4 linked regions of the Struthio camelus genome follow. Each later gene encodes a partner of the first gene's protein in a complex. Links are inferred from orthologs where the notes say so. Each region holds a gene or a part of one and is shown in the gene's direction. Other genes may lie near its edges.

What was found.
Region 2: the proteins of MYO6 (region 1) and TOM1 are in contact, whole or in part, in a crystal structure (PDB 6J56), measured with the Homo sapiens proteins. The link is inferred for Struthio camelus from reciprocal best matches to the Homo sapiens genes MYO6 and TOM1. Residues at the interface, in NP_001355794.1 of Homo sapiens: Ile1182, Phe1184, Trp1202, Gln1214, Glu1216, His1218, Asp1220, Lys1221, Pro1222, Ile1224, Leu1226, Glu1234, Met1235, Cys1236, Leu1238, Glu1242, Thr1243, Gly1244, Leu1245, Arg1247; in NP_005479.1 of Homo sapiens: Ser440, Glu441, Phe443, Phe446, Leu447, Arg450, Ala451, Ala453, Ala454, Asp455, Leu457, Pro458, Asn459, Leu460, Ser461.
Region 3: the proteins of MYO6 (region 1) and GIPC2 are in contact, whole or in part, in a crystal structure (PDB 5V6H), measured with the Mus musculus proteins. The link is inferred for Struthio camelus from reciprocal best matches to the Homo sapiens genes MYO6 and GIPC2. Residues at the interface, in NP_001034635.2 of Mus musculus: Ser1055, Lys1056, Trp1057, Lys1058, Tyr1059, Arg1084, Arg1085, Leu1086, Val1088, Tyr1089, Trp1092, Lys1093, Asn1096; in NP_058563.1 of Mus musculus: Glu255, Leu256, Tyr257, Met258, Gly259, Ile260, Asp262, Asp264, Leu265, Thr268, Thr289, Leu290, Asp292, Phe293, Ala294, Pro296.
Region 4: the proteins of MYO6 (region 1) and GIPC1 are in contact, whole or in part, in a crystal structure (PDB 5V6E), measured with the Mus musculus proteins. The link is inferred for Struthio camelus from reciprocal best matches to the Homo sapiens genes MYO6 and GIPC1. Residues at the interface, in NP_001034635.2 of Mus musculus: Ser1055, Lys1056, Trp1057, Lys1058, Tyr1059, Ala1060, Arg1084, Arg1085, Leu1086, Val1088, Tyr1089, Trp1092, Lys1093, Asn1096; in NP_061241.1 of Mus musculus: Glu273, Ser274, Tyr275, Met276, Gly277, Ile278, Arg279, Asp280, Glu282, Leu283, Thr286, Asp310, Phe311, Ala312, Pro314, Glu316.

The regions. Positions count from the first base shown.
Region 1 is NC_090944.1:43,547,970-43,555,821, forward strand, and holds the start of MYO6 (unconventional myosin-VI), read left to right. Parts: upstream 1-4,839; 5' UTR 4,840-4,873; intron 4,874-5,446; exon of another isoform or gene 5,447-5,514; intron 5,515-7,852. UniProt on the Homo sapiens protein: Myosins are actin-based motor molecules with ATPase activity. Unconventional myosins serve in intracellular movements. Myosin 6 is a reverse-direction motor protein that moves towards the minus-end of actin filaments.
Region 2 is NC_090942.1:59,891,337-59,898,766, reverse strand, and holds the start of TOM1 (target of Myb1 membrane trafficking protein), read left to right. Parts: upstream 1-4,430; 5' UTR 4,431-4,513; coding exon 4,514-4,565; intron 4,566-7,430.
Region 3 is NC_090949.1:24,429,083-24,436,885, reverse strand, and holds the start of GIPC2 (PDZ domain-containing protein GIPC2), read left to right. Parts: upstream 1-4,801; 5' UTR 4,802-4,811; coding exon 4,812-5,063; intron 5,064-6,084; exon of another isoform or gene 6,085-6,365; coding exon of another isoform or gene 6,366-6,389; intron 6,390-7,803.
Region 4 is NC_090972.1:3,432,504-3,439,644, reverse strand, and holds the start of GIPC1 (PDZ domain-containing protein GIPC1), read left to right. Parts: upstream 1-4,136; coding exon 4,137-4,430; intron 4,431-6,654; coding exon 6,655-6,840; intron 6,841-7,141. Other genes in the region: DNAJB1 (dnaJ homolog subfamily B member 1), read left to right, coding at 1-68. UniProt on the Homo sapiens protein: May be involved in G protein-linked signaling.

The DNA.
Region 1 (7,852 bases):
TAAAAAGCAACGGACTTGAGAAAGGCTGTTAACTGATCAGTCAGGGGTACCTTTTACCTCTTCTTGCACTATTATTTAACCAAGTCTATTTTGCATTCCTTTCTTTTTTTTTTAACTACTCACAATTCAAAATAATCTATTTGCTTAGTCTTTATATATATATTATATATATTTATTATATATAATTTCAAATACATTCTTTAAGCAGAGGTTATTGAAAAATTGGACCAATCCAGCAGATTTACTTCCAGTCAAAATATAGACCTTCAGAAACTAGTCATACTATCGCTAAAGATGGAAATGCAGAACAATCAACCTTCCTTAACTAACATGCAGTCTGATAACAGGAAAGAAGAAACTACTTATGAACTGAAATGAAACAGTAGGACTTCAAATAGGAGCTGCTGCCTTAAGCCATATAATGTCTAATTTAATAGTAAGTTGAATGTATCAGTTGGAATACAGAAGGCCTGTGGAAAAGTCAAGGTGTTTAAAAAAAAAAAAAAGTTAGCTATAGTCAAAATAGGTGTTCACTTAAAGTCTACTGGGAATAAGGAAAAAGAAACCCAATCTTTTCACGGCTGTCAGAATCATAGCATTATGTATACGCCCGTAATACTAGGTGAAAGGGAGCAGATAAGACTTACATGCCCGTTTCCAGTAAACAGTTTTCATGTTAAGGAAATGAATGTCTCTTACCTTGAGTAAACGTCCGTGGAAAGAAGCCACAGATTGATTCTGAAAGGATTATGATCTTGGAATTGGTAAGGATACTATTGCTAAAATCCCAGTAATATTTTTTAATTTCTTGAACTCTTGTCTGTGACCATAAGCTGCTATGAGCCAGTTAGAAATGTTCTTTTGCAAACGTTTAAGTAAGCTATTCTTTGTCTAGATAAATAATAGATAAATTGTACTGGCAAGACTAAGTTGGCAGCTACAACAGCTACATTTGGAAACTCTGTACAGGTAAATCCATTTTTAAAACCAATAAGGATATGACTTGGATGTTTTTACTTTTCTAAAATGATTTTATGGAATATCAAGCCACTAAGCTGAAGCACTTGACAGTCAGGAAACTTCAACGCTTCGTATTCACGAGCTGTGAGGTGTTTTAGCATGACCAGATTACACAGATACAGTGTAGTTACATTATATTTATATACGCGTATGACAACAAAGCACTTTAAAGTGAATGAACTTTGGGCCATAGGAAGTCATTGGTTAGGTGCCCACGGATGTTTCTACAGGCAGAAGTTCACCCATTACAAGCTACATTTGGAACATGTAATCCATGAAGAAACTCAGCTAATTATAATACGATTTAAACGCAACCTTTCTGTGTGAAGAGATACATATAGTAAAGGCTTGTAGTGACTGTCAAGCCTGATTTTTACATTTAATTTCTCATAGTAGAGACTGGGGAGAGAAACTTAACTCTCACAATCCGTTTCATATTTACACTGGAAGGTCTAGATCTTGAGCAACAGAATTATACAGGAGATTTCACTTTCTTAGAAGTTCAGATACCTGACATACCATTTTAAATATTGTTTGAAATGAAAATAGGTAGAATATTCTCTCAAAGTTTTCCGGGAAGTCACCTGGAATCCTTTACCTACTTATCCTTTCAAATAGTCTGCAGTTCATCAGCTCTGACAAAATACGATGGCCCGTACCACATATATTTAAAAAAATGTGGCAAATCTGAGGGCAGAATGTGTTTTCTACCATCTGTAAGAAATGAATATTTAAACATAAATTTTTAGTATCTGGGTGAATTAAGACACCGTGGACATCTGGAATATTGTCAGTTCTGCCTGGCAGCGTACAGCAAAGCAGCGTGCGCCCGTACTGATGTTCTCGCTAAAATGGAGCATTGCCTTGTCTCAGCAATCTTTCTACCTTTGGTACGATCATGGGATGCCGGGTAGGCTGTCTAGTGTGTATCGTTTGCACGTTTAAGACGATACTGAAGTATGGTACTAATGTTTTGTTCATTACAATAGACTCTTGCTACCTGATAGGTACTGCGTACTACTGAATGAAAGCTACTCCTGCAAATCTCATCTGTGCGTTACCGCTTTTGAATGGATATTTCTCCATTACGGTTTCTCCCATGTGACATATTAAAGGCACAGGAAGAACTGAGTCACGGTAAAGGCACTCTGGTCTCCATTACAGCCATTAAACTGAATCTATGTCTTACAAATATCAGTAGCCTAAAATAGCCATCAAGTAAAAATTGGTTTGAGTTTCCACCCTAGCCATACTGTTTCCTGGTATTCTGAAAAATCTCAGTTGGACTGAAATAACAGAGGCTGGTCACACTTTCCTATGAATGAAATCTGGAATGCTCCCCCTTCATATACAGAAAGTGAGTACAGTAAAACACGTTTTTCTTTGTTTTCTTATTTCTTCTTTTTTTCCCTTTGTTTAGGTTGAAGTTCCTGCACTCATATTTTACTTTTGTGGGAATTTTCTTCTTTTTTTCCCAGAGGATCTACAGAACAAACGCTGCTGTGTCTTGGGTTATTTTTAGAATTCCCAGGGACAAAAAAGTGAGAGAGTAGACAGACGTGCTCCTTACCAGGAAGCGGCACAGTAGATCATGAGATACTCTTCAGTGCTGCATCACTTCCAAGGCAAAGTGGAAGTGATTGGCTTGTTTACACTGAAAATATTTTGTTGACCATTTCCTGCCATTATATCCTGTTTTGCTAAGAGGTTTTTTTTTTTTTAAATCAGTCAGTGAACTTATATTTTCGTTTAGTTTTCTAGTCATACTTTTTTTTCCAGGTAATTATTATCCTTATCTCTTTTGCAAATAAAAAGAAGACTGAACGTACAAAACACTGCGCCAAAAGATAGTGGGTTAAGTGGAAAGTGCCACTCCCCTTCTCTAGAAGTTTAAAATATTTTGATCTGTCAAACCTGTTAACTATTCTTAAATTGTATCAAATGAATATGCAACTGCCAAATTAAACTGTCACTTTGCAGACATGTATAGTGTTTTGAAAAACAAAATCAGCCTATAGCATGTTATATGAATTGTAGGAATGTTAATCAGGACAGAGCATTTACCTCCACCCGTGCTCTGCTCTGCCTTAGATGCCGGCTTACTCATCCAGTTTGTGTACTCCCATTTTCACTTCCACGTGTACTTCCATGCTATTCTTTGACAGAATCCTTTCCCTGGAAAGCTCCCGGGGATTTCTGTTTTTCCCTAAAGGAAATATGAGGTTTTCCAGACACTCAGAAAGGATCCACCTGAAAATACCATGTCTAAAGAAAAGTAGCCAGGGACATAATGTTAAGGGAAAACATGAGAGATTTTGAAGTGTGAAGTAGCTAGATTCACTCTGTCAGCAAAACACACAAGACGACTTTATGGTCTTGCAGTGGACAGCAAAGAGGCTTTGCACATACAGTCAGGATAATTATGCTGTTCATCAAGTATTGCATGAAGAGAAGCAAAGTTTTTATGGGAAAATTGAGAAAGAAGTGGATAATGTTAGGAACGCTAATAAAACTAAGGGAGAGGGAAGTGATACAAAAGTACAGTATACGTACTTAAGGAGGGGTGGTTATATGCGTCTCTGGTGGTGTGACACAAAGTTTGACGGAACGCTCTCCAGCTGGGCTGCTCTCCTGAGTCACACCAACGCACTGGTGACAGTCACTGGCATAAGCAGCTGGGTGTGCACGGGTGCAATAGAAAATCTCCACAGCAGCTCGGAAAGCCAATGGAAATACTGGTGTGCAGGTTAGCAAGTGTGCTGCCTTGCAGGTGCATCAGACTCAGGCTAGACAGGGCCAAAGGCAGGCAGACACGACTGTCACTGAGCAATAGGTGCGATCTTAGCCTCTCCGTTTTGTGCAAAATTCAGCAATATATACCTGTGGCTCCCTAGAAAAAGGGTTGTCATGGTAGTGAAAAGAGCAGCACCTAAACAAGACGGGGATTTACGAGAAAGGATGTTTTTCAAGGAATCTCTGATTTTCAGAATTTCCACAGCAGCGGAGCTGCCATCTACTGCATATCTTTCTTTATAGTGTGATGGTTAATTAAAACAAACATGAGAGGACCAGTGAAACTTCGCTTTATTTCAGTTTGCTTTTGCTTTGAGATTCTGACATACTAGTATGAAGTTGAAGCATTTATGTTGGCACTTAAGTGAAGTTGCTGATGAACTCTAGTATTTGAAATGCAAATAGAAAGCAAAAGAGGTAAGTAGCAGCAAAAATACTGTTTATAACAGAGTACATTGAGACAGCCTGACTGAAATCAGAGCTAAAAGGTGTTAGACACTGCCCAAAAATAACTCAGAAAAAAATGCATTCATTGAATTCTATCCATACGCATCAGGAGATACAACTTTGTGGACACAGTTATTTCAGCATAAAAATGCTGTGACATGCCTGAAATTTCTAAGAAACACATGCGATGAACGGAAACCTGACTCTTTATGTAATGGCATTGGTTCAAAAAAACCTAGCCGCATCTCCACCCCTCCCCCCCCCCGGCCAAAAAAAAAAAAAATAAAACCAAAACCGAACCAACCGACTAAACACCACTTTCTGGTGCAAGAAAGAAAAAGCCAGGTGAGACCTAAGAGACATCCCCTGCACCAGAGGTCATCCACCCGCTCTAAGGGCAATGCTGCTTCCTGAATGCATCGCCAGCCCTTTCCTTTACTCCCGAAGCTTTAACTCAACCCTTTCTCCTCACGGTATTTTACCCAGGCCGGCGACATGGCCCCCACGTGGGGCGCGGCCAACGGTCGCCAACGGTCGCCGCCCGGCGCGCGGCCCGCGGCAGCCCGGGCGGGCACCGCCCCGGGGCGGGGCGGAGGCAGCGCCGCGCCCTCAGGTGAGGCGAGCGGCGGGGACTGTGCCCCGGGGCCACCGACAGGCCCTTTTTTTTGGGGGGGGGGGAGGGGAAGCCTCCCCCTTAGCCGGGGTAAGGCAGGTAGCGCCCGCTCGCAGGCCACGGACGCGGGGCGGCTCGGCTTGGCCCGGCCCAGCGGCGGCTTGGTGGGCAGGGGGCGGCGGGGGGAGACCCCCGCCTCGCCCCCCGCCCGAGCCGAGGGAGGGGGGAAGGTGTGGGGGGGGGGGTGCGCCAGCGGGCCTCGCCCGCTACCGCCCGGCTCAGCGCGGGGCCGGGGCCGGGGCCGGGGCCGAGCCCTGCCCTACGCGCAGCGACCTTGGCGGCTACGGAGGGGCTCGGGGCGGGCGGGGTCTCCCGGAGGGGCAGCGCCGGTGCTGCGGGCAAGGCCGGCGGGCCTCAGCCGCGCTTCGCTGGCGTCGCCGTCGCCCCTTCCCCCCCCCCCTTCTCCTCCTCCCCCGCTCCGGCGGCGGCCGCCCTCGCCGCGGAGCCTCCGCCCCCGGCCGGCCCCTGTAGCGCTGACGTCCCGGGCGGTTCGCCGGCCCGAGCGGCGGGGGGGGGGGGGGGCGGCGCAGAGCAGCGCGGCAGCGGGGCCAGCCGGGCGCGCAGCGCCGCCGCTACAGCAGGTAACCGGGCGCCGGGCCGCGCTGTCCCGGTGCGGGGCCTGGCGGGCGGGCGGGTGGGCGGAGGGGGACAAGCTGTTGCTGCCGCCGCCGTCACCCGCGGCCGGGCCCCGCGGCGGCGGCTTGTTGCCCTTCAGCCTTCCCCACTGCGTCCTCCCTGCCCCGTGCTCGGCGGGCCGGGGGGGTGCCGTCCTTCTGCCCCCTCCTCCCCCCCCGCGGCGGCGGCGGCGGCTTGCCCCGGCGTCCTGCGTGTGCCCTGCCGGCGCCTCCTGCCCGGCCCTGGCAGTCCCCCCCCCGCCGTGGGCCGCGCTGTGGGGCCGGCGCCGCCCCGCCGGTGGCCAGGTGCGGGCGGCTCCTGCGGGAGCCGCTGCCCGAGGGGAGCCCCGCGGGCTGGCTGCCTGCCGGGGCAGCAAAGGCTGCGCCGGCGGTGGCCGGGAGAGTTTGGTAACTCCACGTTTGTAAAACGCTTCCCAAAGGGGCGGGAGGGAAGTGGGGACTTCCCGGAGCGCCGCTGCGTGCATAGGTGCCCTCTGATATTAAACGTAGGCATTAGAATAATATGCAGTACTTCTTTAAAAGTTTAGCAAGCTTAAAACAGAGAAGGGTGAATACTGCAGTGGAGAGGATTAGAGTTCGAAGCAGGAAACGTTGAGAACAGAAGCTTCAGTTGCATTCAGTAGATCTCACTTCACACATCTCCTTAATTAAACAAACGTATTACCATTAAGGTGGGAGAAGAAACACAAGGGCGCAGGAGGCGTCCCAGGCAGTCAAGTGCCGGCCCTGAGGTCTGCAAGCTTACCTGGAGCCAGTAGCTTCAATTGAAAGCTTTTAAATGTATATGTGTAATCAGGAAAAGTCCTTCTAGGTGCTTTCCTGACTGCCCCCTTTACGTTCTTATCAGGATGGTTTTTTAGCATAGCCAGACCTTCCTTATTAGATGCAATCATAGATTAAAACGCTTTTCCTTTACATCATGAAATGTCATTGAACTTTCTTGTTCCTTTAGTATCATCTCCTGTAAAATGCTGTATGTGCTAAATTCCACTGGCTTTCATTTTAATTCCTCTCAATTCAAAAACATGGCTGTGTCCCTGTAAGAGAAATGAAATTTTTTACAGTATTGACATACTCCAGAGCATGACTTGTACTACAGTTAAAACACATCATCTGTTGAAGCAAATTCCTCTTGAAGTACGTTTGCAGACTTCAGTTTTGGAAAGCAGTGTGCATAAGCATGACAGACTACCAAAATCTATTTTTTAATTTCTGTGATTTGTATGTATTACTGAATAGGAAAACTTCAGTAAAAATATTCTTCCCCTTAATCTGCCATCACTTGAGTACAATTTATACGGTATGATATTTATTGTTGATGCTTGCCTGATAGTTGGTAGTCAGATTCCTTACTAGTAAATCCTAATGCCATCAGAGACCCATAAAATTAAAATAGGTATATTAACTACAGACTACAGATCGCATGAATTACCAGTTATTTCACTTAAATATTGCTGATTGTGTCAGCCCCCCCCTTTTTTTTTTTTTTTTAACAAAGGTGGTGGGAAGTAGAATGTCATGTCATCAAAATTAGTGTCTTGGCTTGCTCATGGAAGGAAAAGAACGTTCTTTGAAGTGATCTAATTTCTCACGGCTCAGTTGACATTATTAGGCTGTAAAATGGCCTATGAACTTGGTTAGCATTCAGCAGTGTACAAAGGTTGACAGCAGAGTAAGTTTTCCTTTTGTTACAAACGTGACAAATTAACAGAGGGTAAGAGAAACAAGATCTGAAGTTAAGTGCAGTCTGAAGTTTGTCTTTTCTAGAGAGAAGAATGCTAGGAAAAAAATCTGATAACAGAAGTGATTTAAGGATTAAAATTATCTTAGCGGAAGTCTGAAGGTATAAACAAATATCTTCTTGCAATATTTGTTTAAATATCATTGTGGAACTGTGCTAATGCACAAGATAATTGTGAAGTGTACGTTTTATAAAATAACTGCAAAGAAAAGAGTAAGTTTATTGTTAGAGCTGGGAGAGTAAATGTGAAAACTAAGTGGCATAGCAGAAGGTAAAAACCTTTCCATTGCTTTCATTAAAATAGAAATTAAATTTAATCTCAACTGTTTTCAGTAGATTTTTTAAAAATGCATGTAAATTAATAATCTCTGTTTAGCAATAAAGTACGGTTATGCCTTTTTGAAAATATAAAGCCAACAGAATGAATATAACAGCAGCTATTAAGCCTTGCAGCAGTCTTTACTATCTGAATTAAAAAGCCTGACAGAAGTGACATGCAGAAATTATAAATATGTACAATTGTAAAAAATAAAACTAATAACC
Region 2 (7,430 bases), on another chromosome or scaffold:
TGCTCAACCTCTGCATAACTGACTTGCGTGCATATGCACTACGCCGGCACTCTCTAAGGGCTCCGTGTGTAGGATTTTAACGTTTTATATCTGTATACTATATACATAGGATTGTAACTATTTGACTTCTATTAATTTCATGAACAGTTGTGAATTTAAGCTGAGAGAACCCTTTTATGTTGGTGGATGAAATGTACTCCAATTTGAAAGTATTTTTATGAAGAATTCAGAAAGCGTTTGAGATACTAGCCTTAAATTCAGATCTGTTAGTGGGGGAAGCACCCACTAGAGAATCGACTTCTAGATATAAAAAACAAAATATTAAGAGTGGTTGTTGGAACAGATTGTCCAGAGAGGGTATGAATCTCCATCCTTGATGTTATTTAGAAACTGACTGAGCAACCTGCTCTAGTTAGACTTTCTTTAAGCAGAGGTTGGACAAGATGACCTCCTGACAATTATTCTGTGGGCAGTTAGAGATGCTAATTTATTGTGGACCAAGGAGTAGAACTGAACTCTTCACCAGCCCTGTTTCTAACTTTTTCAGTATAAAATCTACTGCTTGAGGGAAAAGCTGGATAGCTGATAAAAGATATAGAGGTCTTCACCTCTGAGTCACAACTTCCAAGCTTCCCTCTTCAGTGACTGATGACTGAAAGTTGTCAGCGTCAGCTGGCTGGTCTGGTAGCTTGCATTTGGTTTGAAGGTGAAGATGGCAAAACATTTGTTCTTTTCTTGTGGACTGGCATCCAAATTGCCATTAGCGTGAGGTATCAACAGACTGCACTGGCTTGTGAGAATGAACCTCCTGCTGATTTTTCCAGGGCTTGGTCAGCCCACTTTCACAGAATCACAGAATCACAGAATCACAGAATCACAGAATGGTTGAGGTTGAAAGGGACCTCTGGAGATCATCTAGTCCAACCTCTCTGCTCAAGCAGGGTCTTATAGAACATATTGCCCAGGATCACATCCAGACGGGTTTGGAATATCTCCAGCAAAGGAGACTCCTCTCTGCAACTACCTCTCTGGGCAACCTGTTCCAGTGATCTGTTGCCCTCACCGTGAAGAAGTTTTTTCTCAGGTTCAGATGGAACTTCCTGTGGTTCAGTTTGTGCCCGTTGCCTCTTGTCCTGTCGCTGGGCACCTGTCTCATCCTCTTGACATCCCCCCTTCAGATACTTATACACGTTGATCAGATCGCCTCTCAGTCTTCTCTTCTCCAGACTGAACAGGCCCAGCTCTCGCAGCCTTTCTTCAGAGGAGAGATGCTCCAGTCCCCTCAGCATCTTTGTAGCCCTCCGCTGGACTCTCTCCAGTAGCGCCATGTCTCTCTTGTACTGGGGAGCCCAGAACTGGACACAGCACTCCAGGTGAGGCCTCACCAGGGCTGAGTAGAGGGGCAGGATCACCTCCCTCCACCTGCTGGCAACACTCTTGCCTAATGCACCCCAGGATCCCATTGGCCTTGTTGGGCACACTGCTGGCTCATGCTCAACTTGTCCACCAGGACTCCCAGCTCCTTCTCTGCAGAGCTGCTTTCCAGCAGGTCACTCCCCAGCCTGTCCTGCTGCATGGGGTTATTCCTCCCTGGGTGCAGGACCCTGCACTTGCCTTTGTGGAATTTCAGGAGGTTCCTCCCCGCCCACCTCTCCAGCCTGTCCAGGCCCCTCTGAATGCAGCACAGTCTTCTGGTGGAGAGGAGAGTGGTAGCAGATGGGAGAAACCTGGATTGCTTCTGTTCGTCTTGCATGTGTTTTGTGAACACAGGACTTGAGTTTCTGAGATCGCTGATCCTATCCCTTTCACCAGCAGTATTGAAAGAGCCACGGTGCTGCTGTGAGGCAGTGACTAATGACCAGTTTTAAGCAGTAATGGCTGAGCAAGGCACATGTCAGTTGATTGGACTGATTCCCCTTCCTTCCAGCCACATACTTGGTATTTTGGTTTTCTGCTCCTCTAGAAGAAGAGCTGCAGGAGAGCACTTGATTCTCATATAGGTTTTTGTGTGTCTGTATGTATGTGTATGTAGTGTTCATATCATGTGTATTTAACTTTTACCAATATCTGTAACAGATTTTAATTTATCCTGTATATTTCTGTGTGTGTGTGTGTGTGTGTGTGTGTGTATATATATATATATATATGTATATAATTTAAAAGCAAAAATCCCTCCCTCCACCAACAGTGTGTGGAAAACACGAATCAGGTGTGCGTCACCTCACTTCCTGCAGGCATCAGCTATACGTGCAGTAGCATGCATTGGTTCTGTATGGGGAAACAGCAGCAAGACTTTAAGTGTTTGTAAAAAACAAGACTATCTTGTGAAGCTAGGTAGAAGCTGAAATAGAAAGCTTTTTAATTTGACCCCAGGATCTCCAGCCCTTATAGCATAAAAGTTTCAAAATGATAGAAGAGCACTTTTGGACTACTTCCAATTTGAAGTGTAGTTTCTCTTTTTCAGGGCAGTTGAAAGTGAGCTGTCCCTCATTATGGCTGAGTCCCAAATCATATTTAAATTAAATCCTCAGGTGTGCAGGAGGGTTTTTCTCCCCGTTCCTCTTTACCATATATTCCCCAACTGTGCCAGTGCAAAGCAGTCTGTCTGTTACAGACCTTTTCTCAGTTCAATGTTGTTTTCTCAGTAAATTAAGTGGATGAAGCAGAAGATTCTGAAACTATCATGTCAATTCTTATCTGAAGCCTCAGACCACAGAATACCTGTTTGGACAATATATGACTAATCACAGAGATCTTGGAATTGGGAAGAGGCTTGGGAGGGAGGCAGTCTAATTCAATTTGTGATCCTGGACCCTTACTAAAGCATCTGCTATTGGGAGTGGCACAAAGTCACTGGCTCTTTCCAGCTCTTTACAACTGAGAGCATTGTGGTAAAGGGCTAGATCTCTAAGAAACAGAAGGAGATCAGCTCTTGCTTTGTCATCTGTACAATTGAAAACTCTTGAAGAGTTTAAAAACACACACAACCCTAGTGTATTGTATTTTTATTTAAAATTTGTACACTTTGTATAATCTGTATCTTGTGGTATTTGGTACTAGAGGGAAAACTTTGGTGACACTTAGCAGTTTTTATATTTTTGTTATTTCCTTGCTGTTTGATCCAGATTACATTACAATTATATAAAGAAACTCTTTTGTACTGTACTTAACAATATAATTTTTTTTAACATTTGGAGTGTTGTCATTCATTTCTAGTGTTTACTATGTTTTCTTGCAACAGTTGTTCCTACTAGTATTTCGTGTTTCTCGGCAAAACACTTTTAATTTTAAATTCCTTCATCTCAGTTGTTTTAAGAACAAGCAATTCTAGTTCTAATAGCACAGTTCACCTGAAATACCACTCAAAGAATACTGACAATTTGGAGACCTTCCTGAAGGGAAAGATAACATCTAGCATGGCAAATCCTACAGCATGGGGCATTTTTCTTCCCTGTTCTCTCATTTCAGTTCACCTTTGTGGTGTTAAGGTGAAACAGTACAGGGGACTCAAGATCAAGACAGTGAAAGGAACTACAGGCATGGCAAAGTTAGATCATAATCAGTGCTAGTTCTTAACATGTCCCCATTTCCAGGGTCTGACAGATGCACTGGCCACTTACACCCTCAGCGTGTGTGATGTCCAAAGACATGAGGCTGTTGCAGAACGTGATACTTTACTAGCCAACTTGTATTCCTTGTTTTAAGTACATTTCAACAGAAGTTTATGGAAAAATAAAAGCCAATAACTACATGCTTTCACGCATTTCAATGCAGCTCTAGGTAATGTTTATTCTGCATAGATACAGAAGAGCATTTGAGGAAACTGTTCTAGTGTTTCAGTAAGAAAATGGTAGCAAAAAGATACATCAGTAGCCACATCAGCCTGTCTTGGTGCCACACTGTAAATAGCTGTGAAAGAAGGTAGGAAGAACGCGTGCAGGGAAATCGTACTTGTTGGTAGCTGGGCTCTTCAAAGCTGTGGCTGCAAACAACTGCCTTGTCTACTAAAATAGCATTCAAAACCTCCCCGCAGGGAAAACGCACGGTGGACTTCAGCCCCACTGGTGAACAACAGCCACGACCAACCGCTCAAAGCGGTCAGGTTAGAAAAGCGCTCCAGCCTGAAGCTGCAACCGACACACGGTTTACTGTGGCCGCTCGCGAAAGCGGCGGCGGCGGCCGGGCCGGGCCGGGCCGGGCCCGGCCGGGCGGCCGCACAGGAGGCCGCGCTTCCGGCAGCGGCCGGCTCCGCGCCTCAGCGAGCGGCCCCGTTCCCGGGCCCCTCCGCGGGGAGGGCGGCCGGGCCGGAGCGCTCTGGTGGCTCCGTCCCTGACGGACTACCGGCCACCTTCCATCTCCGCCGGCCCCGCCCCCACCGGCGGGGCGGCGGCCGTTAAGCGCGGGGCGCTTTCGTCACGGCGTGGCTGGGCCTCGGAGGCACGCCCCGGCCTGGCGCGCGGGCGTCACGTGAGCGGCGCCGGCGGAGTCAGCTGATCGCGGCGCGGCGGCAGCGATGGACTTTCTCCTAGGAAACCCCTTCAGCTCCCCCGTGGGGCAGCGCATCGGTGAGGCTCCCGCGACCCCGCGCCGCGCCGCTCCCCTGCCCTCCCCCGCGCCCCTGAGGTGGGCTCGCCCGCTGGCTGGACCCCCTTCCTCCAGGAAGCGGCGGCGAGAGCCCCGAGGGGGCGCGGCCATCCCCGCCTCCACGGCGGGCCTGAGAGAGCGCCAGCCTATGAGGGGAGCGTGCCGCTTTGACGGACAGGCGCTGTCCACCAATGGCGAGCAGCAAGAGCTGGACGGCTCCGTCGACCAGCCAATCCGTGTGCGGGGGGGGGGTCTCGAGATGGCGAGGCAAAGTTTTCTTGCTTAAAGGGGCCGAAGCAGCGGTGGTCCGAGCCACGCCCCCTCGCGCAGCCGCCACCTGTGATTGGCTCGGGCCCGTTCCCGCCGACACCTGCATGAGGACCTGGTGGGGGGAGCGGGCACATACGGAGAGGGGCGCGTGGGGGGTCGCTGATTGGCTGGGGCTCAGGCCACGGGGGGCCTATCAGCTTTCTAGATGAGAAGGGTGGGAGTTCTCCTTGAGAAGGGGGTCCTCCTTGGGGGCCATGACAGAGTCTGGAGGGCTTTGCTGGGAGGCTGGGGGGGGGTTAGGCCTGCTCCAGGCTCTTTGGGGCTCTTCCCAGGGGGGTTCAGTGCCACCCCCCCTGCTCTGAAGGAGGACAGCTCTATCTGGTGCTGCCCCTGCTGAACCTTGAGGTCTGCAGTGCGCAGGGCCCCCCCCCCCCCATAGGGCCACACTGCAGCTCCACGAGGAGGAAAGTGCCACCCCTGCACCGCTGGATTTCTCATAGGTCTGAAAATCAGCATGGGAAGTGAAATCAACTACAGGTTTATGGCATCTTCTCTGTGACCTCTCAGGCTGATGGACTACTAAGTCTTTTTTTAAACCCTGTGCTCAGGTCAATTAGATGAACACAGGGGAAGAAATTGATCAAAAATGGTCTCAAAACAGAGATATAGTGCTTAAAATGCTTAAAACAAAGGTTCTTTTCTTCCCCTCTTGTATTACATGCTTTCTGGTTGTGCTTGAGGTAGTACAGTTGATGTCACATGTTTAATCTATCCAGCATGATAGAAAATGGCCATTTGTAATTTTATACGCTTCTTCATTGTTGCTTTTTATCACTAGTGCCAACCTGTGTTCTTCATCTTGAAAAACTGATTCCTAATTCAGTACTTTTCAAACTGCTTGCGTGTGGGGTCCACATGTGTAGTGCACTGATTGTGTCATGTATGGTATGGGAAGGGAGCAAGCAGTTGATGTAGGTAGTGCTTTTAAAAGTCCTACTTATTTTAGAGGCTCTTGCTGCCCAAAGCAGTGTCCAAACAATATGGATAGGGCACTGTGATATGGCCCATGTTAGCGTGTTGGACAACATAGGTGAGATTCACTGCTGCAAGGTAGGGGAAGGATCGCTTTGGCCAAAGATATCAGGGAAGTTACTAGGTAATGAGAAGTTTCAGATGATCTTTGATGTCCCCCCAGGCAGTTGTCACATGTTGCATCACGCTTTCCAGGAGGAGCATTCTCCCGCCCTTTTCAGAATGAATGTTCTTTGATTCCCTGCATGAATGTATGGGATATGATTTTTGCATTTGGGTTGAGGCAAAATGAAGTAATCTTTAGATGTTACAGATTACATCTTGCCCTCCAGATCTTTTGATCAGTGTAGCAGCCAAATTATAAGTGATTTCCCTCTGGGCTTTTCTTCTGTTAAAGACAGGGTTTCCAAGTAACAAACCAACAGCAAAGAAGAGAAAATAAGTATTTCAAGAGTGTTGTCAGACAGGAATTTAGAATCCTTAGTACCAGAGGTGTGACAGTAGAGAGATCTTAATGGTTGAGGTTGCGGGAATCCAAAGGGTTGGAGGATTTGCAGTGTCTGAGAAGGGAACTGAAGTGTGGAGGACTTAAAAGGGCTGGTGGCTGTAAATATGAATGCTTTTTTCCTTCTGATCATTGCCTAGCAACATCCTGGGGACATGGATAAATGCTATCTTCACTATTTAATTTGAGACGCGAACATGACTTACCCTAAGTTGTTTGGTAGGTCAGTGTCAGCTGCTTATACAACCCTTGAGCCTGATCATCAAACCTGCAGAGTGCTGCTGCTTTGGGCTGTCTACAGAAGGCTTATACTGCATCATTGTAAATTACTTCAGCAAAGTCGTGTATGCTTGATACAGCTTATAAAGTCTAAAACAGCTTTGGATGAAGGCGGTGGAATGAAAAAATCTTTTGTGCCACACTCCAGTGATGTTCTGAAATTGCTTCATTAGTGTTAATCTAGTAAGTCCTCTTTATTTTGCTGACATGGAAACTGGTGCTTAGATAAACTCAGTGATTTGTCTCAGAATGAGTCAGTTGCAAACTGCAGAGGAGTAGGTTTTCCAGCTTCTTACTCCCAGTCCTGGAATTTGTTCACAAAAGTTCCTTTTGTTCTGTTTTTAGATCATGATATGTCCTCCTAAATAAGAGGAATACAGACTTTTTTTTTTTTTTTAATGCAATACTTTTGGCTAGCAGAGAACTTTCCAAAGAGTTTGGACTCTCCACACAGAAGGATAATCCCCTTGGCCTCTACCTAGGAGCTCCGAGAAACCTCAATATGGAAAACCTAACTCCGAGGAGGCACTCTAGTAGTAACAAGGCAACTGTAGAGTGTGAAAATGGAGAAGAAACCACAAATATTCTCTTTTCTTAAAGCTTAGAGTTTGGAATAGCTAGTAATTATAGCAAGGGACAGAGACTGGTTATTCCAGTGAGTGAAGGCAGATAGGGGAGAAAACTAAACATGTCATAGAGAGACAAAGAAGAGTTTGGGGGGCGGGGGGAGGAGGTTAAGTGTGTGGAAACAGGAGAAGTT
Region 3 (7,803 bases), on another chromosome or scaffold:
AATCAAGCTTTAAGAAAATCTGGAGGTGACTATTGGCACCTAATCACCAGTGGACAACTCATGAATTAGTGGAAAAACTAGATGCGCTCCATTCCTTTTTAGCATGCACGTCTTACATGGTAGTCTTACATGCTCTGGCAGCATATTTCTTTGAGGTGAAAAGAGGTTCTAACCCTACCAGTGAAACTTGCCTTCAAACTGTCATCTCTGGGTGAAAATTTGTGCACTTGAATTCATATGCTGGCTGGAAAAAAAAAAAAAAGAGGATGTGCACTGCTGATGGCTTTCCTTTCCCAGTTAATAAATGCTAGTGCTCAGCAGCTAACATTATTCTTGTTCTTACTGTTTTGCTTGATGATCAAACTATATAGATTCAGAGTGTTCACACATTCACTTACTGCGTTTGACATTCAAGCTTGGCAAATGGTAGCACTAGTCTGCTCATGAAGTACAATCTCAGCTCTTGGTTTGTCAGATTGTTCAACAGTGGACTATTTCCAGATAACAAGAACAAGTGATTTGTTTCCCCCAGGCTCTTCCAATTAATTGTTATGTTATGTAAAGAGTGAAAGTAGAGGGATACTGTTGCTCCCCTTGAGTTTAGATGAGAGCACACGACTGTGCTGTGCTTGTTCATTTCCACTGTAAGTGCTGGCCCACCCAAGGGAGAAGTTACAACAATCTTGTTAATCATGCCTGAAGATAATTTGTCCTTGATAAAGTAATCAAACTCCTGCTGCCCTACATGATTTAAAAAACAAAGCACTGAGCCATTATGCCATGCTCCAAACAAATTATCTGGACTGCTCATATATACATCCAAAGAAAGGTTCATAAACTAGGTCAAATGAGAAGTGTCCAGTGCTAGAAAAGCTGTGGCCGAGTATAATGAAGAGCTTGACCTGCTTCTGAGAGAAATCCAGGAAAACCAGGTTTATTTTCTTCATATCACCAACAAACTGATCTTGCAAAGGTGATGGATAGTAAGGATAAAATCTCTGGGGTCCCCTCTTGCTCCCTATGAAGTCATGATGCCAAGCTTGCAGTCAGTGTGTGAACGAGTTTATTGCTGCTGTGTGAACGAGTTTATTGCTGCTGTGTGAACTTTCAGAGGATGGCATGACTAATTGGGGTGCTTGTATGTGTCAAAGACAAAATACGACTACTTTAAGGCAGCAGCTCATACTCTCTGGTAAGATTTGTTAACTGAGTTTAGTCCCTCTCCTGTCACAGATAGTCCTGTTTGAACTCTGATCTTAAAATGGAGAATGAAACACAGCCTTATTGAATAAAAGGGCTTGTTTTGCACATTCTCCAAGAGTTTAAAAATAGCTTTTAACATTATTTATGACCAAGAAATTCCTGCTTAGATTTATCAACATTACTCTTTGATTTCTTGTCTCAATTTTTTGTTACCATAGATAACTATAAAGACCAACTATATTTTTTCTCAGCCTTATTTTTGTCAGAATAACAAGAGAAGATCTCACAGTATCTTATAAAAACAGATTCTTCATTCTCTAATCATACCAGAAATCCTTTTAAGTAGTTGCTGAGTTTAGAACAGGGATGACAAGAATGGTGCAAAGTATTGCAGGTAACGGCTCCCAAAGTCAGATATATATTCCATGAGTGGTGAAACAATCTTGTGTATGCTACTGATATTTTGCAGTAGAGTACTGTGGCATTTCATATCCAGTAGGTCTTTGCTGTATTTTACGTACTTGCTCCACAAACTTCATGGCTGTTGCATGCCGTATAATTCTCACATCCTAAGTACTATGGCTGAGAAACCAAGAAATGCAAGAAACAGCAGTGTGCAATACGAAAGGGTAAAGGGGCCGAAACTTTTTTTTGATAAGCATTTTTTTCTCTTCTAAAACAATAGAAGATTAACATCTGTATTCAAATAACTTTCTGACAGTATTATTTATTAAAAGTATGACTTAATTTTTGGATCCCAACTGTCCTGAAATGCTGGAGGCTTATTTGGATTCAGGATTTAGTTACGATGTACAATAATAAATGTTAGCAAATATTTCCCAGTTGGCTGCACATGCCAAGGAAGCCTGAAAGCAGGAGTGATTGTAGTCGGTGTGAATGTGATTGGTGTCCACTATAGGCTTTTTTCTTTGAGATGCTCAGCAGGCTGACTCATTTCTAGCTCTACAAATGATTCAGTCCCCACACTGTTACGCTGATTACATCTAAATGGTTGAAGTTCAAGGAAATACTGTTTATAACCGTAACTGCAGGCTGCCCCCACATCGCCAAAAAAAAAAAAAAAAAAAAAAACAGTACAGGTAGGAGCAATGGACATATAAATTGGAATTTTTTAGCACTTTAACTGTTTCCTGCCAAAGTTGGAGTCTGTTAATGACAATTTTTGGTACTGCTGTTTTAAGTTTGGAGTTGGAGAATAAATTAAAATACACAGTTTTCTCTTTCTCTGATAGAAATGTTCAAGCTCATCTATTATTATGTAAATAATGATAGGATATACATGCTCCATAATCTTTGTATTAAACAGTACAATGTGATCTTCAGTTTATTCAGTCAGCTCTTTGGTATCCCATCATTTTTCCTATTTATAGCTAAAAAGCTGATGCTGTTCCTCCAGGCTTCAAGTAGGATCAACATCATTCTCGTGCAATTTCAGTTGTTTTTTTCCTCCCATCTCCATATGAAGCATGGATTATGTTTGGAAGAGGAAATACTTAAAGCTTCCATTAAAGAAAATTTTTCAAGTTATTTAAATTAGGGCTACTGTCAGTGTTTATCAACTTGTGAAAAAACAAATCTGTACAACCTCTGTATGTCAGTATATGAAAACATGGCTGGTTTTGCTTTCATTTAACTGAATTGTTAACCCTTTCAATAACAGTCATAAACAGCATTATTTACTGTTTCGTTTTTTAACATTTTTCGATCATCTCTTCAGAAGATAAGAAATGACTTGATGGAGGTCCTATAGAGGCAAGAAAGAAACTACGATTCTTTCCATAGGCAAAGCTGTGTATCTGTAATAGCTGATATATTCCATCCTTAATATTGGCATCCCTTCTGCTGCATTGGGACAAACCGCTGATATTGGTCAGTGCTATTGTATATGGCCGTTTTGCTTTGGCCATTGTTTTTAAGGTTCCCCAATAGTGACCACGTTTTCTGGCCCTCCTCAGTAGGATTGTAGAAGCTTCACTTTAGGAAATAGGAATGCAAAGTCATTTCAAATTGGGCTGGGCAATTCACGTATCCAAGTCCGATGGTAAGTTTATTCTGTAGTCTTAATTGGTGGGAATTACTGGTAATTAATAACTCAATTTTGAATCCAGTTGTCTTAGATAAGAACTGATAACGTGGGCATTTCTGAGTATTCGGTTAAATCCAGGTTAATTTTGGGAAGACCAAAATCCAAATGGCATCACTGCACTTTTTTTCCCCACCTGAACAGAATTTAAGCTTTATGATTTCTTGAGGCAGAGAAATATATATCAGGTGATGTGCTTATGTCAGTGATAAGGACTGAAATGCCAAGAGGAGGAATTACTGAGTGCTCAGATAAAACAGCATCAAGGCTAGTATTTATTCCTCTGGAAAAGGGTTCAACACAAAGTATGTGTGCTAGGTTGTCTAATGAACCTCCCTAAGAACTTTCGCCTCCAGGCGGCCTCCTGGTCATCCTCTTCTCTATGCCCTTGTGGTCCGGCTCCTTTTTTTTCCCAGTGGTGGGTCTCCTCTGAGCGTCAGAAGGTGTGCTAAGGCAAAGCTGCTTCTCTCTGCACTTTTGTGCTAGATTCCTGTAGAAGGCCTGGATGCTGCTTCATGAAACTTCCACTCTTCATGTCCCGAGTGCGTTCAGCACACCGGTGAAAATGGAGTAATTCACTGAGGTGAGTGTAATTGTTGTGTTGTGAGTGTTGTTGAGGTGAGTTGTACTGGAGCAAAGAGGTCTTTTGTAGCAGGTAAAAGTCTAAATCAGTATTTTATAGCATACAAGATGAAAATGTTTTAAACTTAGCAAAGGCCAGAAAACATGCTTTTTCAAATACTTGTGTTAAATGTCAGTACTTCTAAACTGTTGCCCAGGATGATAGGAAAAGCCTCTTAAACTTTGCTTACATAATTATACATCGGCAAGCTTCAATAAAGTCGTGAGTACTCCAGGCACAATTGTAAATATGGGAAAGATTTGGCAGAAATCTTTATATATGGTCTTTTATATCCTGGATATAAACCTATTTTGATCAACATTTAGTACTTTATTTTGAGTACTATTTAGAAATTCCTGAACAAGCACGTGGGAAGACAGTGAACTTGCTAGCATTGTGTACACGTAGGAAAAGACATAAAGTAGGGGTGTATGTATAAACTTTGTGGAATGCGTTTTCTATTATACACCGTTAGAGAAAAGTGGAACAGACACCTTGTGTTGCAGCCCGTTTTCCGGGCAGCGCGGTCTTGGGCGAAGCTCTGGGTGCAGTCTGCGGGGAAGCGGCGGCTTCCGCTGGCGAACGCGCGATGATGGATGTGGCGGGCAGGAAGCGTTATTGATCCGGGCGAGGAGCCTCCGTCCCGAGCGGCTCCCAGCCCGGCAGGGGGCGGGAAGCGGCGCTCGGGCCCCGGCGCCCCCCGCGGGGCGGCTCGGCGCCTCCGGCCGGGCTTTACCGCCGGGGCCGGGGCCGGGGCTCACCTGGCGGCGGCGACATGGCTGCGCCGGGCCGGGGCCGGGGCCGGGGCCGGGGCGGCGGCAGGGCCGGGGCGGCGCCGGGGGCAGAGTCCGGTGCGGGGAGGCGGCGGCGGCGGCGCGGAAGATGCCGCTGGGGCTGTGGAGCAAGAAGAGGGGCAAGTCCAAGGAGACCTCCAAGCTGGTGGAGAGCGAGGCGGACCCGGCCCCGGCGCCGCCGGCCGCGGACCCGGCCCCGGCGCCGCCGGCCCCGCGGGCGCGGCTGCACTTCCACGCGCAGCTGGCGCACGGCAGCGCCACGGGCCGCGTGGAGGGCTTCGCCAGCGCCCGCCAGCTCTACGCGCAGATCGCCGAGGCCTTCTGCATCCCCCCCGCGCAGGTAGGGTCCCCCCGCCGTCACGCGTGGGTGGATGGAAGGGGCGCAGCAAGGCGGGCCGCGTGCTCCCGCAGCGTAACCGCCCCAGCGTCGTCCCCGCGATTTGGGGGGTTATTTTCTAATAAAGGGGAAAAAAGAAACCCTGTTGCTACTTCCAAAGACTCCTAGAAATGAAACACCCATCGCATACGCAGAAGGGTACAAGCATTTAATTTTTATACAGCAAAATATAGTCATTTTTACCATAATATCTCTAGTATCTTGGTTAACCTATTGTTCACTGGATGTTTAATGCAACTTAGTGCCTGTTGAACGCCGAGTCAAACCATGTCTGTTCTGGGTGGGTGGGTGGGATAATTCCAGGGCAGGAATTACTGATTGCACTGATTTTTTTTTTTTTTTCCCCAGTTTGAAAAATGAATGAATCTATGAGAGCAAATATACAGAATGGCAACAACAGGGTATAAATGCTTTAAATCTAGCCTTTTTTTTCTTTTTTAATTACAACTTAATGCGAGGTTGAGCAGCTGGAGAACTTTTTGCTTTGCCAAATGATTATTTTAAAAAGGGGTGTTGCTAAGGGAAGCCTATTAAAACTGTAGTAGGATTTTTTTTTTTATCCTGCAGCCTTTTTGATCTTTTTGAGCCGAGTTTAAACATTTGTTTGGATTACAATTCATTTGTGTTTGTAAATGCATTGTTTTCCCTTAGTTGAAAGGCAGTGGCTGTATCACGCTCTTCCTACGTGCTTCTATGAGCCTTAACCTTTGAGTGTCAAATTGTAACAAAGTGCTAACTTTTCATGTGGCTTGGTTATATAGTTTTACTTATTTTCGTATTTGTTGCTGGTTCCTTTAAACTACTGTAGACTTTGCTCTGAGAGACTACTGTGGTTAGACCTCACAGCACTTCAAAGAGTAAATGATAAAAGCAGCAGTAGCAGTGAACACAGTTTAACCAGGCACTGTTGCATTAAGTAATTAAGAGCTACCAGTACCTTTGCCAGCCAGCGCGCCTACCTCCCAGACCTTGTCAGCTGCTTTCTGACCTTTTGCTTCTCTGTTTTCTTTCCCTACGGAGCTTCTGTTCCCCTTTTGTTATCTGTTCTGTTTCCAGTTATACCTTTTACTCTCGAGCCCCGATAATTGCCAGATCGTTTTTCTATTTTAGTTTCCTTTCCTTCATTTTGCTGTCGAACGCTTTCTCCTGTCACTGATCCTGTGGCTCCACTGGCTTGAGAAAGAATAGCATCCACCGGGAAGTTCAGGGTTGGATGAATGGTGCTCTTCCCGCTTCTCCTGCTCCATGGGGAATGCAAGGCCCCCAAAGGTGAGAGAAGGAGGCCCCACGTGTCTCACCGGCATCGATCCCTGGCCTTGTACTAAACTAGAGAATGATTTTTTTTCCTTCTTTCCTTTTTCTACTGGGCCTTCCCCTTTCTATCTTGGTTTTATTTTTAAAAATTTGATTTATTGGGAAAAAGGGAGTGAAGAGTTAATGCTGGAGGCACCACGCTTGTTCTTTAAAGTGGAATGAATTTTTCTTGAATAAAGAGTTCTAATTAAGTTGCATAAAATGAAAATAGAGATCAAAATTACTTCCTGGTGTAAAAGTGGAGCAGCAGAGTGATGAATCTGGACCAGAAAGTCTTGCAACAGGATTTTGGACAGAGAAGTTAAAATAGGATAGATCAGTGAATAGCAAGTAACAATTTGGGAAAGCATCTGAATATAAGTGTAAAGTATTTCATATCCTGAAAAAGTTTTGCGCTGAAGCTTTCTAGCTTAAGGAAAGGGTATGGTCTAACTCCATATTGTGTCTGTGCAAATAAGTTGTGTGTCTTTGTTCAGAAAGAAACATGATATTGGCTATATGAGAAACTTACACTATTTTAATAATTTCAGTAGTTTGAAACTAGGGAAAATACTGCAAGACATTGTACAGATCCCTGTTTTAGCTCTGAGAATATTGGCAAGGCGTTCATTTACGTTCCGTAACGGCCTTACTTTGCACCTTGGCAAGTCGTACTTAGGATGAGGAAGTTTATGCTTTTTTTTTTTGTTATCACATGGGAGAAAAAATATTTAAGAATATAATAATTGATTCACTGACATAATTTAAGATGTGAAGGACTTTTACAACTGTTATACAAAGCTAAGGAAGCAAAAATTCTTTGTTTCGAAGCTTGGAAGTTCAATACATGCCTGTGACTGAAAAATACTATATTTATTTAGAATAATTTGTAAGTATAATAAATTCTAGTGAGTGAATAGAGATAGACTACTGGACGAGAAAATGGAAAAGGTCAGCATGCAGGATTTGTGGACACCCAAGCAAAGGGACCCTACAGTAAAGGTGGTATTTGTAACACAGTAGAAGATCTGACAGGAATCAAGACAAATATAGTGACTGAAAAATGGAAAGATTAAATGACTATTTCATGGCCCAAAGCACTAAGATTTTGTTATACTGTATTTTAATGGAGGGATGGGCCAACATCCTGACTGGGATTCCATGAAACACATGATTTGTTAACAGCAGAGCTTGCTTGAAATGAGAAGTGTAGACATTTTAAATAGTATTACTTATGAATTAAAGCTGCTTATGGGCTGGCTGGTGTAAAGAATAATGCCTGAAGGTACACCTCAGCACACTGCAAGACACTGAGGTGCTCAAATGCCATTTGGAGGTGTCATCTACCTAGGAAATTTTGTGACCGAACTCTTCTGAAGCCTGCGGGCAG
Region 4 (7,141 bases), on another chromosome or scaffold:
AGGTCAAATTCCCTGACCGCATTCCTCCTGCTTCAAAACCCATCCTGGAGCAGGTCCTGCCCATATAGCGCCTCCGCTTTAAGGACTTGGCTAGAGCTCGAGGTGTGGTGGTTTCTTTTATTTTCTCTTTTTCGGGAGGGGACCACAACTGGGACTTTCGGGGTCTCTTTAGCAGCACCTCCCTTGGGGGGGGGGGTGTTTGCACCCCCTTGTTTCCCCGAGCCGAAGGGCGATGTCCAAACTGCCGAGCGGCCTCCGACGGCTCCGCTGGAAACTCCCACCGCCTGGATTTTCGTCGTGCGGGTCCAACCCCGACTTCCGGGCCACCCGCTGCCCCCCGACGATGGTGGCTCGGAGCCCTCCGGTGGTCTTCCCCCCCCCCCCCTTCCTCCTCCTCCTTTCCCTCCCAGCGCGGGCTGGTCCCTCGTGTCCTGGCTCGGTGGCGAGGAAGACTCCGGTGCCTCGGGCTTTTTCGGAAGGCCTCTTCCGCCTTCGCATCCGTAGCACAACTCTGGTGTTATCCTTTGCGGATAAAAAGGGTGTTTGTTTGTTTTTTGGTGTTGCTCCTGGAACAGGAGCGCTCTTGGCACTCGTGTACAGATATTTTTTTGTATAAAGCTCTGTAAAATTGATGTGTAATTAGTAAAAGTGAGACGGATGGCTCGTTTGTGTGTGGGGGGGGGTGGTGGTGGTGTGGGCCTGGGAGCTCGGCCTGGGATTATGGGGATTAGAGGCTGCGATGGGGGGAGGGGGAGTGCTAAACTGAGGGGAGCTTAAGGGGATTGGGGGGGAGGGGGAAGGAGGAGGCTGATTTGGGGCTGGGGCTGGGAATTCTGTTTCCCCCCTCCAAATTGGGCCATTTCCAGGCTTTTTTTTTCCCCCCCAAATTGTAGCATCTCAGGGGCTGCAGGGTTCCCACTCCCAAACTGTACACTGCCCGCCATGTTCCATCAATACACCCGCCCCGGGCCAAATTGCGCCGGTTCTGGGGTTTTTTCCCCCCAAATCCTACTGCTCTGTGGCTTCCCCCCGCTCTCCACCCTCCCCGCCTCGCTGCCGCCTACGGTTCCCAGCGTTCCCCCGGCCCGGCGCCTGCAGCGCGGCATGCTGGGACTTGTAGTCCGCGCCTCTGATTGGCTCCCCCCGACCCCGTGGGCGGGCTCGCGGCCGAGCAGGGCGGTGCCGCCCGCGTGCCGGGGCCCGTCCACCGCCCCCGGCCGGGCCCGTTTCCTGGAGCCGCCCCGCCCCGCGCGGGGGCTCATTGGCCGACGGGGCGGTGTCGCTGAGTGGTGATTGGCCGGCGGGGCGGCGCCGCTCCGCCATGATTGGCCGGCGGGGAGGCGCTGGCCACGCCCCTCCCCGGAGGGTCAGGCCCGGCAGCGCCCGGCTGGAGTTTGCGGAGTGACGGGCCCGGCCCGGGGACGCGGACGGTGAGGGGGGGCGGGGGGGGCCAGGACCGGCGGGGGGCTGAGACCGGGGGGGCACCGGGACCGGCGGGGGGCTGAGACCGGGGGGGGGGGACCGGGACCGGGACCGGCGGGGGGCTGAGACCGGGGGGGGGCCGGGACCGGGAGGGGGCTGAGACCGGGGGGGGCCGGGGCCAGGGGGACCGGGACGGGGGGGGCTGAGACCGGGGGTGGACGGGACCGGGACGGGGGGGGGCTGGGACCGGGGGGGGAACCGGGGCCAGGGGGACCGGGACCGGCGTGGGGTTGAGACCGGGGGTGGACGGGACCGGGACGGGGGGGGGCTGAGACCGGGGGGGAACCGGGGCCAGGGGGACCGGGACGGGGGGGGGCACCGGGACCGGGGGAGGGAACCGGGACCGAGGAGGGTGAGGGGCGGGGGGGGCCGAGACTGGGGGGGGGGAACCGGGGACACCGGGACTGGGGCCCAGGGAGGCGGCAGGACGGGACGGGGAGGGGAAACTGGGACCGGGGGGGAACCGGGACCGGGGGGGACACCAGGACTGGGGGGGGACACCGGGACTGGGGGGGTCACCAGGACTGGGGGGGGACACTGGGACCGGGGGGGTACCGGGGCTGGGGGGGCACCAGGACCGGGGGGGGCACCAGGACTGGGGGGGGGTACCGGGGCTGGGGGGACACTGGGACCGGGGGGGGCACCAGGACCGGGGGGGGGACACCGGGACCGGGGGGGTCACCGGGACTGGGGGGGGTACCGGGGTTGGGGGGACACTGGGACTGGGGGGGGCACCGGGACAGGGGGGACACTGGGACCGAGGGGGAGGGAACTGGGATTGGGGGGGACACCGGGACTGGGGGGGGACACCAGGACCGAGGAGGGGACCAGGACGGGGTTGGGGGGGGGGGACCAGGACTGGGGGGGGTGGAAATGGGATGGGGGGGGGAACGGGGACAGGGGGGACACCAGGACCGAGGAGGGGACCGGGACGGGGTTGGGGGGGGGGGACCAGGACTGGGGGGGTGGAAATGGGATGGGGGGGGGAACGGGGACAGGGGGGACACCAGGACCGAGGAGGGGACCGGGACGGGGTTGGGGGGGGGGACCAGGACTGGGGGGGGGGTAGAACTGGGATGGGGGGGGAACGGGGACGGGGGGGACACCAGGACCGAGGAGGGGACCGGGACGGGGTTGGGGGGGGGGGACCAGGACTGGGGGGGGGTGGAAATGGGATGGGGGGGGGAACGGGGACAGGGGGGGACACCAGGACCGAGGAGGGGACCGGGACGGGGTTGGGGGGGGACCAGGACTGGGGGGGTAGAACTGGGATGGGGGGGGGAACGGGGACGGGGGGGACACCAGGACCGAGGAGGGGACCGGGACGGGGTTGGGGGGGGGGAACCAGGACTGGGGGGGGTGGAAATGGGATGGGGGGGGGAACGGGGACAGGGGGGGACACCAGGACCGAGGAGGGGACCGGGACGGGGTTGGGGGGGGACCAGGACTGGGGGGGGGTGGAAATGGGATGGGGGGGGGAACGGGGACAGGGGGGGACACCAGGACCGAGGAGGGGACCGGGACGGGGTTGGGGGGGGACCAGGACTGGGGGGGTAGAACTGGGATGGGGGGGGGAACGGGGACAGGGGGGGACACCAGGACCGAGGAGGGGACCGGGACGGGGTTGGGGGGGGGGGGACCAGGACTGGGGGGGGTGGAAATGGGATGGGGGGGGAACGGGGACAGGGGGGACACCAGGACCGAGGAGGGGACCGGGACGGGGTTGGGGGGGGGGGAACCAGGACTGGGGGGGGGTGGAAATGGGATGGGGGGGGAACGGGGACAGGGGGGGACACCAGGACCGAGGAGGGGACCGGGACGGGGTTGGGGGGGGGGAACCAGGACTGGGGGGGGGTAGAACTGGGATGGGGGGGGAACGGGGACGGGGGGGACACCAGGACCGAGGAGGGGACCGGGACGGGGTTGGGGGGGGGGGGGACCAGGACTGGGGGGGGGTAGAACGGGGACGGGGGGGGGAACGGGGATGGGGGGGACACCAGGACCGAGGAGGGGACGAGGACCGGGCTGGGGGGGGGGACCAGGACTGGGGGAGGGGTAGAACTGGGATGGGGGGGGGGAACGGGGACGGGGGGGACACCAGGACCGAGGAGGGGACCGGGACGGGGTTGGGGGGGGGGACCAGGACTGGGGGGAGGGTAGAACGGGGACGGGGGGGAACGGGGATGGGGGGGACACCAGGACCGAGGAGGGGACCGGGACGGGGTTGGGGGGGGGGGACCAGGACTGGGGGGGGGTAGAACGGGGACGGGGGGGACACCAGGACCGAGGAGGGGACGAGGACCGGGCTGGGGAGGGGGGACCAGGACTGGGGGGGGTAGAACTGGGATGGGGGGGGGAACGGGGACGGGGGGGACACCAGGACCGAGGAGGGGACCGGGACGGGGCTGGGGGGGGGCTGGAAATGAGACTTGGTGGGGGGGGAACCATGATTTTGGGGGGGGGGGAGAAGACCAGGACAAGGAGGGACGCCAGGACCGGGGTGGGAGGGGGGGGGGGGACACGACACCCCTCCAGGCCACACACCCAGCCTCCCGCCCCCGTGCCTCAGTTTCCCCTCTCCCCGCAGCCCCCGCAGAGCCGCCGCCGCGTCCCCCCCCCCACCCGCCGCCGTCCCCCCCCCGCCGCCGCCGCCGATGCCGCTGGGCCTGGGCCGCCGCAAGAAGGCCCCGCCGCTGGTGGAGAACGAGGAGGCGGCGGGGGGCCGCGGCGGCCCGCCGGGCTCGCCCTTGGGGGCGGCCGGCGGCGGCGGCCCCCCGCCGGGGGGGCTCCTGCCGCCGCCGCCGCCCCCCGCCGCCGCCCTCCGCCCCCGCCTCGTCTTCCACACGCAGCTGGCCCACGGCAGCCCCACGGGCCGCGTCGAGGGCTTCGGCAACGTGCGCGAGCTCTACGGCAAGATCGCCGAGGCTTTCCGCATCCCGCCCGGCGAGGTGCGGCTTTGCGGGGGCGGCGGTCGGGGTGGGGGGGGGGGGGGCCAGGATGGTGTCGGGCACCCCCGGGGTGCTGGGAGGGGGCTCAAGGCTCAGGACGCTTGGGGACGGGGCACCCAGAGGTGCTAGGGGGAGATTCGGGGGTCGGCATGCTCAGGGATGGGGCGCTCTGGGTGTTGGGAGGGGGGTTCAGGGAGAGGGCACCCCGGGGTGGGGGGCTCGGGGGTCAGGACGCTCCGGGATGGGGCACCCCTGGGTGTTGGGAGGGGGTTCAGGGAGAGGGCACCCCGGGGTGGGGGTCTTGGGGGTCGGCATGCTCAGGGATGGGGCACCCCTGGGTGTTGGGAGGGGGTTCAGGGAGCGGGCACCCCGGGGTGGGGGGCTCGGGGGTCAGGACACTCCGGGATGGGGCGCTCTGGGTGTTGGGAGGGGAGTTCAGGGAGAGGGCACCCCGGGGTGGGGGGCTCAGGGGTCAGGACGCTCCGGGATGGGGCCCTCTGGGTGTTGGGAGGAGGGTTCAGGGAGAGGGCACCCCGGGGTGGGGGGCTCAGGGGTCAGGACGCTCCGGGACGGGGCACCCCTGGGTGTTGGGAGGGGGTTCAGGGAGAGGGCACCCCGGGGTGGGGGGCTCGGGGGTCAGGACGCTCCGGGATGGGGCCCTCTGGGTGTCGGGAGGAGGGTTCAGGGAGAGGGCACCCCGGGGTGGGGGGCTCGGGGGTCAGGACGCTCCGGGATGGGGCCCTCTGGGTGTCGGGAGGAGGGTTCAGGGAGAGGGCACCCCGGGGTGGGGGGCTCGGGAGTCAGGACACTCTGGGATGGGGCACCCCTGGGTGTTGGGAGGGGGTTCAGGGAGAGGGCACCCTGGGGTGGGGGGCTCGGGGGTCAGGACGCTCCAGGATGGGGCGCTCTGGGTGTCGGGAAGGGGGTTCAGGGAGAGGGCACCCCAGGGTGGGGGGCTCGGGAGTCAGGACACTCCGGGATGGGGCGCCCCTGGGTGTTGGGAGGGGGTTCAGGGGTCGGGATGCTTGTGGATGGGGCACCCCTGGGTGCTGGCGGAGGGCTGAGGGCTCGGGACAGTTGGGGACGGGGCACCCGTGGGTGCTGGAGGGGGGCTTGAGGGTTGGGACACTCGAGGACAGGGCACCCCTGGGTGCTGGAGGGAGCTTAGTGGTCAGGACAGTTGGGGACAGGGCACCCCTGGGTGCTGGAGGTGGGCTGAGCACTCGGGATACTTGGGAACAGGGCACCCCTGGGTGCTGGAAGGGGGGCTTGAGAGTCAGGACGGTCGGGGATGGGGCACCCTTAGGTGTTGGGGGGGTCTTGGGGATCGGGACACTCGGGGATGGGGCACCCTTAGGTGCTGGGGAGGGTCCTGGGGATCAGGACACTTGGGGACAGAGCACCCCGGGGTGCTGGGGGAGAGAGGGCTCAACGGGCAGGGTGAGGGGATCCTTGGGGTGGGGAGGGGGACAAGAGGACATTGCGGAGACCAGGGGGAGAGGAACGGGGGTGAGGGCAGCACCCGTAGGTGCATGGAGGGGGGGGGGTCCCACGTGTCCCCAGTGAGGGCGTCCCCGAGCAGTGGGATCCCATGTGTCCTTGGCGGGGGGGGCCCACAGGTCTCCAGCAGGGTGTCCCCAGGCAGTGAGGTCCAACATGTTCTGCAGGGAAGGTGTCCCCAGGGTGGGGATCCCCTGTGTCCCAGGGGGTCCCACGTGTCCCCAGGACAGGTGTCCCCAGCAAGCGGGTCTCGTGTGTCCCAGAGGGTCCCACATGTCCCCAGGACAGGTGTCCCAGGGCTCCTGTGCACCCCAGGGCAGGTGTCCCCTGGAAGGGGGTCTCATGCATCCCCAGGGAAGAGGTCCTTTGTGTCCTGGGAGCTCCTGGGTGGCCCTGGGGTAGATGTCCCTGGGAAGGGCGACCCACATGTCCCCAGGGTCCCATGTGCCCTCAGGGTAGGCGTCCCGAAGAAGAGAGGTCCCTTGTGTCCTCAGGACGGGGGTCTCGTGTGGCCCCGGAGGAGATCTCGTGTCTCCTGGGAGGTCCCACATGTCTCCAGAGAGGTGGTCCCCAGGAAGGGGGTCCCGTGTGTCCTGGGAGGTCCAATGTGTCTCCAGGGAGGTGGTCCCCAGGAAGGGGATCCTGTGTGTCCTGGGAAGTCCCACGTGTTCCCGGCGTGGGGCTCCGGGTGCCCCTGCACCGCTGACGGCCCTGCCCCACCCAGGTGATGTTCTGCACCCTCAACACGCACAAGGTGGACATGGAGAAGCTGCTGGGGGGACAGATCGGCCTCGAGGACTTCATCTTCGCCCACACCAAGGGCCAACGCAAGGAGGTCGAGGTCTTCAAGTCCGAGGAGGCCTTGGGCCTCACCATCACCGACAATGGCGCCGGCTACGCCTTCATCAAGGTGCGGGGACGACTGTCCCACGTGTCACCCACCCCGGGCCAGCTCCCACTCTCCTGGAGAGCCTCAGGGTGAAAGGGTGACCTTGAGTATTCTGGAGGGGATGAGAAGGGACTGTCCTACTTGGAGATGCATAGGGACGCTTCAGGCGGTCCCTGAGGCACCTTGGGGGGGACGCCAGGACGTGGTCTGACTTTATGGGGGGACACAGGGACACCCCAGATGGTGCCCGAGCCACTCTGAGCGGGAAGTGGGGGGAGCATCCTGGGCCATCCCAGGAGGACGCAGGGACGTCCTAGACGGT